Linked DNA regions of Macaca mulatta. The protein of the gene in region 2 interacts with the protein of the main gene of each other region in a pairwise test. Links are inferred from orthologs where the notes say so. Each region holds a gene or a part of one and is shown on either strand. Other genes may lie near its edges.

The links.
Region 1: the proteins of LNX1 (region 2) and HSBP1 interact in binary tests that used the Homo sapiens proteins (3 or more experiments, as listed by UniProt). The link is inferred for Macaca mulatta from reciprocal best matches to the Homo sapiens genes LNX1 and HSBP1.
Region 3: the proteins of LNX1 (region 2) and KCTD17 interact in a two-hybrid assay, tested with the Homo sapiens proteins (2 studies listed by BioGRID and IntAct). The link is inferred for Macaca mulatta from reciprocal best matches to the Homo sapiens genes LNX1 and KCTD17.

What each region holds. Positions count from the first base shown.
Region 1 is NC_133425.1:79,175,207-79,178,887, reverse strand, and holds the start of HSBP1 (heat shock factor-binding protein 1), read right to left. Parts: upstream 2,876-3,681; 5' UTR 2,790-2,875; coding exon 2,745-2,789; intron 2,187-2,744; coding exon 2,120-2,186; intron 1,552-2,119; coding exon 1,433-1,551; 3' UTR 1,431-1,432; exon of another isoform or gene 1,257-1,430; intron 161-1,256; exon of another isoform or gene 1-160. UniProt on the Homo sapiens protein: Negative regulator of the heat shock response. Negatively affects HSF1 DNA-binding activity. May have a role in the suppression of the activation of the stress response during the aging process.
Region 2 is NC_133410.1:79,996,700-80,000,347, reverse strand, and holds part of LNX1 (E3 ubiquitin-protein ligase LNX), read right to left. Parts: intron 3,228-3,648; coding exon 2,986-3,227; intron 2,478-2,985; coding exon 2,325-2,477; intron 1-2,324.
Region 3 is NC_133415.1:14,498,640-14,502,387, forward strand, and holds the start of KCTD17 (BTB/POZ domain-containing protein KCTD17), read right to left. Parts: upstream 2,714-3,748; 5' UTR 2,710-2,713; coding exon 2,500-2,709; intron 1,351-2,499; coding exon 1,242-1,350; intron 1-1,241. UniProt on the Homo sapiens protein: Substrate-adapter for CUL3-RING ubiquitin ligase complexes which mediates the ubiquitination and subsequent proteasomal degradation of TCHP, a protein involved in ciliogenesis down-regulation.

The DNA.
Region 1 (3,681 bases), on a different chromosome or scaffold from region 2:
TATCTAAAAATACTCAGGATTTTGATTTATTTTTTTATTTTTTTTTTGAGACAGAGTCTTGCTCTATCACCCAGGCTGGAGTGCAGTAGCATGATCATGGCTCACTGCAAACTCTGCCTCCTGGGTTCAAAGGATTCTCCTGTCTCAGCCTGCCGAGTAGCTGGGATTACAGGCGTGCACCACCACGCCCATTTTTGTAGAGACAGGGTTTCACCATGTTGGCCAGGCTGGTCTCGAGCTCCTCACATCAAGTGATCTGCGCGCCTTTGCCTCCCAAAGTGCTGGGATTACAGGCATGAGCCACCACGTGCCAGCAACCGTTTTTTTTTTTGAGACGAATCTCACTCTGTCGCCCAGGCTGGAGTGCAGTGGCGCGATCTCAACTGCAACCTCTGCCTCCCTGGGTAACATTCATTTTTATAGAGAATTAAAACGTTATAAATGAAACATGAGAAAAGGGAGTTTAAAACTTATTTTTCACATATACAGAGGAAAAGGACTGTGCACTCAGTGCTGAGTGATAGTGTACATTTACCTATCTTGCTATTGGGTAGTTTTAATGGGCTTTCCTCTGACATCTGAAACTATTCAGTGGAAATTTAAATGAACTCCAGAGTAAAAGCTTAATGTGGCCACAATCTAGTTTACCAATGTCAAGTTACCAAGAAAGTCTCCAGAATTTAAGCCATTTAAGAAGGTGGTAATGTGGGCGACTTATCAGCGATCCCCTCCACCGCCCCCCGCCTCCCAAGAAAAGCAATGGAAAATCTTCCAGTGACAGGCTTTATAGGCCAACAAAAACCCCTTTATTAGCTGGAATGATAAAAACTCAGTGGTTATCTAATGTTAGCCAGTTGTCTTAACTAACAGTGACAGAAGTCTAATTAATAAAACCTGGGAAAATAAATTCAGTGTAAAGAATGAGTTTGGCATGAAAAATTCCAAAACATGAAGTCCACAGCGGGTAAAGAATACAGGGATGTTTGCTGGGATCATGGCTGGGAACTGATCTACAGAATGTCTGACTACATCAAAATTATATTTACAGGTTCTATTCTTTTAAGGGAAAAAAAAAAAAAAAAAAAGGCCGGGCACGGTGGCTCACACCTGTAATCCCAGTACTTCCAGAGGCTGAGGTGGGCGGATCACTTGAGGTCAGAATTCGAGACCAGCCTGACCAACATGGAGAAACCCCATCTCTACTAAGAATACAAAATTAGCTGGGCGTCGTGGCACAAGCCTGTAATCCCAGCTACTCGGGAGGCTGAGGCAGGAGAATCCCTTGAACCCAGGAGACAAAGGTTGTGGTGAGCCGAGATTGTGCCATTGCACTCCAGCCTGGGCAACAAGAGCAAAACTCCGTGTTAAAAAAAAAAAAAAAAAAAGAAAAGAAAAAAAGAAACGAAAAAAAAAATTGCCCCCTTCCTCACCTTCAACTCTTTTGTGTGGCAGGTATCTTGTTTTCACCTTCCAGTTCCTCCACCCCAGCCTGTGTCATGAGGTCTGCGATGTTCTTCTCCAGATCATCAATGCGACTACTCATATCATCAAGTGGTGAAGTTAAAGACAACGCGTGCCAACATCTCCTCATTGAGCCCTTTCCTTCCGTCCCTGTGGACTACGGCCTTAAACACAACGATTTTAGGGAAACCGGTCTTCCAATTTCCTTTAGACACTGTTACAGGCTGGTGGGTAAGAGTATAGGCCTCTGGGGCATGGCTACTCAGCATCGGTTTCCGGCCCTGACCCTTACTAGTGATGGAACCCCTAAACCTCAATTTATGCATTTGCTAAAGATGGTAACACTACAACCCACTCATAAGGTCATGCTGAGTATCAAAAGAAAGACACACACAAAAGCGCTTAGTTCACAGTCCATGGTCAACCACACCAGCTATTAGGATTGGTAGATGTACGCTCCTTGAGCCAGGGATCTGTCTAGCTCAGCTGTACCCCGAGCTCTCGGCGCAGTCCTTCTTGGAAACACAGTACAATCCAAGCTCAAATTCTGTAAGTGACTGGCTGAAGCTGGCCTGAAAACTACTCATTTATCCCCACCGCTGCCCGGCAAAGAGGCTCCAAAGGCCCACAGGAGGCCCACTACAGATAAAAAGGATATTTCTCCCAATGATCTGGTCAGACATGGTCTGAAATTTATCTTGCATCTGCTGCAGGAGTGTCTGCACCTAAGAAAAACCGAAACAAACAAACACGGTCCACACTGATCCTGAGACACCTTCCTGGGATCAGGACGTGAGCTCTGATCTCGGGTTCCAGCCCCATTTCTGCCTCTGGGCAGCTGTGCCGCCTTCAGCAAGGATCTTCCTTCTCGGGGCTTCCGTTTTCCCACCTGTCTAATTAGACTGGTGGGCTGGGGAGGCCGCTGCGACTCAAAGTTCAGGGTCTTTAGGCTGTTTCTGCCGGGCTGAGGCACCCAGGGGTGTGTAAGGAGTCGAAGGGCGGGGAGGGTGTCAGAGCGAGGCAGGAGGGACCCGGGGGGCGTTCGCGACAGGTGAATGGGGTTACCGGAGGGGGTCGGGCTTAGGAGCGCTCGCGGGTAGACGGGTCCGCACCGAGCGCCCAGGGGGTCAAGGTGGCCGGGAGCCTCGGCCAGAGACGCTTCCAGAAACCGGGCCTCGGCAGACGCCAAGCGCGGGTGCGGTGGGCGCGCCTCTGTCCAGCAGGGCCTGGCCCGGCGCCGCCCGAGAAGGCCGCGGCCTCGGGCCCTCACAGCCGTCCCTTACCACCGAGGTGAGGTCCTGCACGGTCTTGGGGTCAGTCTCGGCCATCTCCCCGACGCCCAGCTTGGCGGTTATGTCTCAGACCGTAACCTACACTTCCGTTTGTCGGCTCAGACGCCCCCGCCCGCTGCTTCTCGCGACGAGACTGGCTGCTCGCGGGACCGCGGGGCATTATGGGAGTAGTAGTTTCTCCCGCACCGGAAGGGCCTCGAGGCCGAGCGCTTCCGTTCCAAGGAGCGGCCCCACCCCACGCTCCCCGCCCTCTTTTGCATAGCCCCTCCCCTCCCCAGCGTGCCGTTGGTGGGGTGGGAAGTGAGACCAACTCAGAAATGGAGCAATAGAGGCAGGGAGTGGCCTTGGCCCCCATTCCAGGCTGTAGTCAGTCGAAAGACGGCTCTGGGTTTCTTTGGCCTGTCAGGACGAACTTACTGAACTTTTGTCCTTCAACAAGACCCACTATACCCTTGTAACTGCCCCCAAGTCAAGGAACATGAGCCCCCCGGAAGCCCCATGGCCCCTGTCCTGTCCTGTCCTGTCCTGTCATCTCCACCCTGAGGGTGGCCAGCGTCCGGAGTTTAACCCTGCAGGTTCATTGTGCCCGTCAGGTTCATATGAGGGGATTCAGACAGGAAGCTGTCCATCATGTCTGGCTTCTTGCACTCCACGCGATGCCTACTGTTGAGTGGGGAAGGCTTCCGGCATCAGGGTTAGACTGTGGGTTTGGGTGTTGAAGGAGGTGGGCACTGCTGAGGTGGAACCTCTAGTTCCAACCCCACAGATGGTCTTTAGGATTGGGTCTCAGGGCAAGGGGATAGGAGAGTCCTTGACTGCGGGCCTGGCAAGGAGATGTGTGAAAGTTCTGGAAACTTTCACACATCTCATTTAAGGACTGCTGTGTGTGAGGGTCAGCTCCAGTTTGAGTTTAGGTGGGGAGAGTCTG
Region 2 (3,648 bases):
GTTTGAGATGCTTCAAGAATTACCTAAATGTGACACAGAGACATGAAGTGAGCACATGCTTTCGGAAAAATGGAGCCAACAGACTTGTTCGCTATAGGGTGACCACAAGCTTTCAATTTGTAAAAATAAAAATGAGGTATGCTTTTATTTTATTTTAGTCTTGAATAAACCCCCTGATGCCAGGAACTACATTTTATATTCTTTATATAAAATGACAGCACCTAGGCCGGTGCCTTACATATAATAATCTCTTTTATAAATGTTTTTGTAATAAATATGCAAATATATCTTTTTCAAGATAACTTTTTTTTTTTTTTTGAGATGGAGTCACCCAGGCTGGAGTGCAGTGACACAATCTCAGCTCACTGCAGCCTCAGCCTCCCAAGTAGCTGGAATTACAGGTGCCCATCACCACGCCCTGGCTAATTTTTGTATTTTTAATAGAGATGGGGTTTCACTATGTTGTCCAGGCTGGTCTCAAACTCCCACCCTCAGGTGATATGGCTGCCTCAGCCTCCCAAAGTGCTGGTATTACAGGAGTAAGCCACCACGCCTGGCCCAAGTACTAGAGAACTTTACATGGAGTGGAATTGAGGAGTCTTTAATAAGAGGAAGAGACTGGTGGAAAGGAAGTTCTAATCTTTTCATTTAGTCATTGCACAGACATTTAGTGGACACTTATGTGCCAGACACTGTACTAGGCCTTAAAACAAGGACTCAGAAAAATAATAATAAACCCTACACTTTGAGGTACAGTTACATGAAATATGATAATCACTGCTACAGGTGCTTCAAAAACACCTAAAAAGAGGGCTGAAGGAGTCAGTGAGGTTTCCAGGAGGAGGCAAAGGCTTACAATAAACCTGAAAGAAGGAATGTCAATGCCAGCTGAAAGGAGAGTGGGAATGCAGGCTGGACAATAGAAGGGAGGCGAGAGAAAGACATACAGCATTTACAGGACTGTAATCAGCTGAGAGCTCTTAGAGCATGCAGCATGTATGTACAGGGTGAGAGGCAATCATGAATAAGTATACAAGAAAAGGTCTGATAAGGCTGCTCATGAATTTTGAGGGCATAATACATACAGTGGTTTAGGCTCTGCCTCCCAACTCCCAAGAGTAGAGGGCAGTATAACCCAGGAGCTAAGAGAGTAGGCTCTGGAATGAGAGGACCTTAGTTAAAATCTTGGTTCTGCCATTTTCTAGCCGGGTGACTGGACTAATTACCTAATCCCTCTGGGTCTCCGTTTTCCCATCTGTAAAATGGGAATGAGAGTCCTATCCCCTTAACATTATTGTCACAGCTAAATGACTGAAAACACTATGTGCATACAGAAAGAGCTCAATTTTTAAAAAATGTTATTATTACTAAAGTTCTAACATAAAAAGCAAAGATAGTAGGACAGTATTTCCTCAGCTCCATTTATACTGGAGAAAACATATGGGATCTAAGACTCAACAGCTTGCTTTGCATGAATTCTACAGCCATGTTACCTGGATTCAAAGTTTAGCAAGGTAATTTGGAACAACCTAAGGAGCCTCTCTGTGCCACAGTTTCCTCATCTATAAAACAGAAATAGTAGTAGCACCAGGTGCGGTGGCTCATGCCTGTAATCCCAGCACTTCGAGAGGCCGAGGTGGGTGGATCGCCTGAGGTCAGGAGTTCAAGACCAGCCTGACCAACATGCAGAAACTCCGTTTCTACTAAAAAATACAAAAAAATAGCTGGCTGTTTTGGCAGGTGCTTGTAATCCCACCTATTTGGGAGGCTGAAGCAGGAGAATCGCTTGACCCCAGGAGGCAGAGGTTGCACCGTTGCACTCCAGCCTGGGCGATAAGAGTAAGACTCTGTCTCGAAACACACACAAACACACACACACACACATACACACACATACACATGGAGTATGGGGTTGTTGTGAGGCTTAAATGACAAAATGCATGTAAAACACTCAGCACCACACCTCACATGTAGTTGAAAGAGTAAGGAGAGCAAATATATATATTGCATTTATTGTATGTGCCAGTCATTGTTTTAAATGTTTTTCACTCTTTAACTATAATTCTTCTTCTTCAAATGCATAATGGCACTAGCACCTGAAGGTAAGGGTTTCAACACTTTTTCTTCAATCTATGTAAAAAGATGATAATACTTTCTGCCTTTAGCTACTTATGTGAGAAGCAGGCTAATCAAAGTAAAAAACATTGTATACCCTCGGGAAGAGAGGGGTCACAGAAGGTGGATGGTGATCAGATTGCATCATCCCTGAAGTCCCCCTGGAAGCCTAGCCCATGTCCATCCTGCCTTGTGGGGAGGTCATTTACCTTCAGGGGCAGTGGTGTTTTCAGAATTTTCCCTGCCCTGGTCAGCGTGGTTGGCAACCGCACTCCCGCTCTTTGTCCTTCGAAGAACACTCAAAGCTCTATTTATTTTTTTAAAAGATCTGCTTCTAATAGTGGATCTCTCAAAGGGCCGTGCTGAGGAAAAGCAACAAGAGGAACAGTAGTTATGATTTAATAGAAATCATCATTTATGTACATATCTGATAAAATATATATAATAAGACATTAACAGTGACTACCTCTAGGTGGTAGGATTGTAGAATTTGCTTACCTGTATTTTCTAAGTTTTCTACAGTGAAATATGTATGACGTGCTCTGCTTTTCTTTTCTGTTTCTGGGCTGAACTGAATACAATAGCACTTTTCTTGAACAGTATGGCTGAAAAATTACTGACACTGCAGGAGTGATGAATCATTAGGTCTAGTTTCAGCCCCTTTCACCAAGTCAGATTACACACAGTTTAATGATCGGAGGTACTTGTGGTTTCACTTCACTTTGGAGAATTGGACATTGGGTTCCTGCCAAAACTGCCAGAATGATTTCCCCTTAAAAAACATTTCTAGAACTTTCCACAGTAAGTATTCCACAGAGAGCAATCCCAAGCCAAGGAACCCAATCCTGGACAACCACCCATTTGACTCACCCCTAGTTCGGTTGCTCCGTCCAGAGTCCACTGGGCTGACTGCTGGCTGCCCGTCTTCCGCCGAGGACACGTAGGCAGGGTTGTCTAGGCCAGGCTCGTCTGTCATTAAGGAGATGGTGGCAGCTGCAGAAACCTCTGGGGAGGGAGCCATGGCTGTGAGGCTTGCACAGCCATCTGGACAGCCATCTTGTGAGCGCCTCTTCCTGTCTTTGGTCAGGCCGTAGTGGGAGGCACCTTTACAGCTGTAACAGAACCAGTGGGGAGGTGAAGAAGAGCATTGGCTCTGCTGCCATTCCTCAGTCAGACCTCTTCAAATACAATTGAAGAATGTATAATAGGCTTGTTGAACTTGGAATCTGATTTGCCTTCCCCTATATTCTCTCTTCCCTTTTCACATGTTGGTACTCAATATACATTTGCCAACCAAGTGAATTAATAATTTGAGATGTTTTAAAAGATGCCCACTGCATTCTCTTAAAGCAATCTCTACATTGGCTCCTAGAATGCAAATTTATTCAGGTTGCCATGGTGTCTACATGACCAGGCTTTGAGGCTGGCAATGTTCAACTGTTTGGTAATTCCTGCTTGCTGGTGTTTATTTTGACCATGAAAGCCCTTAGTCACACTGTCACTCATTTCTTTTGGATTTTGTTCCCACAGCAC
Region 3 (3,748 bases), on a different chromosome or scaffold from region 2:
CCCCTAGCCCCCGGATAGCCCTGTCTGATCCTCTAGTCCCGGACAGGCCTGTCTGCAGGTGTGGGAATAGCAGGGCTTTGAGAACGCAGGGCGTGTAAACAGGTGCTGGCTGTGACGCAGCTTGGGTGTTTACTTCCTTCCCGGCGGGGCCTGCTCCTGAGCCTAGGCCACTCCCATGGTATCTGTGCTCCCACAGGGATTAACAGGGAAGCTGTGGGGTTCTGCAGGGCCAGGTACCCACAGTGGACTCTGGTGTTGCGGCCCTGACCTGCTAGAGAGTTGCTGGGCCTCCAGACCACTGTGTCCCATAGGGCTCAGGGAGGGCAGACCATGGCCCAGAGCAGGAAGGCATGCACAGATGCAGGTGCTGTCTGTGCACAGGATTCATGACATCTCCCTCCAGGAGGCAGATCACCGCCCCCATTTAACAGATACCAGTGGAGACGCAGCGAGGAGAAGTGACATGTTCAAGCTGGTCTGGCTGGATCAGCTGACCCAGAGCCACACCCTGTGTCCCAAAGAAGAGTTAACTTGGCATTGACTCTAGTCCTTGCCCCTGGCTGGGGCTCTGCTAACAGGTCGTTCTTCCAGACACGGCTTCCCCACTGTTTGTTAGGCCCAGATATGGGCATATCCAGGGCCCCTGCCACCTAGGCCTGGGGATAACCAAAGCCCCACTGGGAAGCAGACTCCCCCCTCCCCTGCCTCCACCCACAACCAGCACTGTGCCGCACAGGCTGCCAGACTTAGTGAACAGTCACCCGCTCCACCCACTTACAAGCCCTCACCAGGCAGAATTGGAGATACTGGATCAGCCAGAGAAAGAGAGAGAGAGCGCTCTCCCCATGCCTGTCAACACCAAATTCCTGTCACCCCAGCCTCCGGATGTGACGGTCCACATCTGGCTTCCTAGGAGGCCAGAGAGAAAGGGCATCACAGCCCACCGCAGAGGCCACAGGGCATTGCTGACTTCCTCTATCCCCTGCGCGTGTGTCTTTGTCACCTCCCTGACAGCACCCTGGGAAAGCTTGAGCCCGTCCGCTTGGCAGAGCCCCAGGCTGGGCACAGGCAGATGCTTGGGAATCAGACTCGTCCGGATGGGAAGAGGCAGGAAACAACGAAGCAGGCAGACGGCCATCCTGGTTGTCCAAATGGCTTGGGGCCTCCACAGAGGGCCCTGGCAGGCTGCAGAGGGCCGGGCTAGGATGTGGGCCCCAGGCCAGTCCCCTGAACCAACTCACCCTCCTCAGCCATGTCCTTGTCCAGCACCAGCTTGCCATGCCGGAGGAAGTTCAGGATGGGCCCGAAGTAGGTGGGGTCACGGTCAATGAGGTAGGCCCCGGTCTCATCCTATGGAGGTGAGGGATGCTCCGTGAGCGAAGAGTGAGGCCTCTCCCAGGCCAACCCCACACATGCACAGGGAGGGAAGCGAGTCCAGGGAGAGCTCTTCCCTGGATGGAGCAGGCACAAAGGAGCAAAAAGGCACTGGGGTCAGGTGGACCTGAGTTCAAACCCTGCTTCTGACTTTTCCTGAATGTGTGACCTTAGGCTAATGATTTGGCCTCTTTGAGCCTCACTCCTCTCCTCATCATCAGGGGTCGCTGTGAGCATCTGGTGACAGGAGGTCTGAGTGGCAACTGGGCCAGCACAGGGCTCAGAGAATGTCCCTCTTAGAAGCTGTCCCCTGATGCCAGCCCCACTGTCGCCCCCAGGTCCCCAGGCTTTCAGGGAATGTTTACAAGTTTCCAAAGAAGCCACTATCTCACTGGACATTCAGGCAGGCAGGGAGGCAGAGTGGGCTTCCATGCGACTCTACAGAGAGATGGGAGACATTGAGAGGCGAGGCGACTTGCCAAAGGCCACAGCATCGGAAGGTCACGGATGGGGGACAGGAGACCTTAGAGGTCATCTTCAGACCAGCCCTTCGTGTTACAGATGAGGAAGGAGGCTGAGCGCAGTGCAGGGAAGGGTCCGACCCAAGGTCGCAGCAGGCAGCGTGCAGCAGAGTCAGGGTGGGTGCTCAGAAACAGTGCCCGCTGGGCCAGCGCTCCTTCTAGATTCAGCCCGCTCAAAAGGCGCCCCAGGGCTCCTCCATCCAGCTAGCTCCCTGCACCCCTCCGCCACCCACATCCCAAAGGGCAGGAGAAGTAGCCTCGTCGACTCCTTCCCCAGAGCAGGAGTCCCCTTTGGGAGGGAGGAAAGGCCCCAGGTATCTCCCTGTCCACTGCCCCAAAGGAGAAGGTGAGACCCCGATCCAGGGCGGCTGGAGAGCTTCTAATGGCCGCGACCTGCGGTGTCCCGTTGCCACGGCAATGGGCACATCCCTCACTACCAGACCCACCTCCCCCTTCCCTCCTCCTGCCGCTTCTTCCCGCCTCCAGTTCCTCGGAAATGAACGCAGCCGGGTCCCCAGCCTGGCGGGCGAGCCAGGCCCGACAGCCCTGCGTCGGGCCAGCAGAGGACCCACCGCCCGCTCGCCGCCCACCCCGGGGGCCTCACCCGGTCCGACTGCAGCTCTTCCCCCTGGCACAGGCGGCTGAGGAAGGACTTCTGCTCGCGGCACAACGTCTGCCGGGTGGTCAGGAACACCGTGCCCCCGACGTTGAGCCGCACCCACTTGCCCCAGCCGCCTGCGGCGCGGCCGCCCGCCCCCGCCGGCGGCGCTCCCTCCCCGGCCTCCATCCTCATCGCCGGCCGCGGCGTCTGCATCCTCCTCCCGGGCGCGGGGGGCGGGAGGGAATCACGCGCGGGGCAGGCCGGGAGCTGTAGTCCGCGCCTCCTGGCTCCGCGTGGGCCGCGGGGAGGGTCCCGCCCCGCGCTGCTCCCGCCCCGCGCTGCTCCCGCCCCGCGCTGCTCCCTCCTCGCGCAGCTCCCGCCCCCGGTCCCGCCCCGCTTCGCCCTTCCCTGCAGGCCCGCAGTCTGGGCTAGTGAAGCTAAATCACTGTGTATGGGGAAGGTCGAACTCCCGAACTCTGGGAAAAGAATGAGTGCTTCCCCAAATCGCAGTCTTCCCATTGGTCCGAGCGTTTTTGTTTTTCCTTTGTGCCATCTGCGTCATCCAACTGCTGATAAGGGAAGAAACTTCCCCGACGAGGAATCCCCATAGCATTGACCCGCATGTGTTTCGTCATATTTTTTCATTTGCCCGTTGTGTGTATCGGGGTGGGGGCGGGGTGGGTGGGAGTGGGTTCTTTCCTTCATCTAAGTTCTTGGAGAACGACATAGCTGGACCTGAGGTTGGCTGAGCACCTGTATGCCAGACACTTTGCGTAAGTGTGTTATTCATTTAAGCTCTCAGCAGCCCTGTGAGTCTGGTATTTTGGGATATACCCATTTTACAGATGAAGCCACAGAAGCTAAGTGACCGCTCTACTCACATAGCTGGTGAGTGAGTACCCGCCAAGGCCTCTTTCCTGCTCCCCGACCATGGAATGTCAGGGATCCTTGGGAAGGACTTCTAAGGAGGAAGAGTAGAGCAGGCCCTGGATCCCAGTCAGGAGAACTGAGTTTCCATTCTGGCTTTTGGCTGTTCTCAGTTTTTCCAAGTCCTCCCCAAGCAGGAGGAGGGATTAGTTCTGCGGGTGGCTTTCTGAGTTATTTCCCAGTTAACTTGGAGGGGGACTGTCATTCTGTGGACCTCAGGATGGGGAAAGGGACCCCACCATGTGGTCTGGGACCAGGGAGGGACAGAGGCTGACAAGGAAGCTGTTTCCTTAGCTTCCTCTCCTTACTGGTTTCAGTCCTGGTC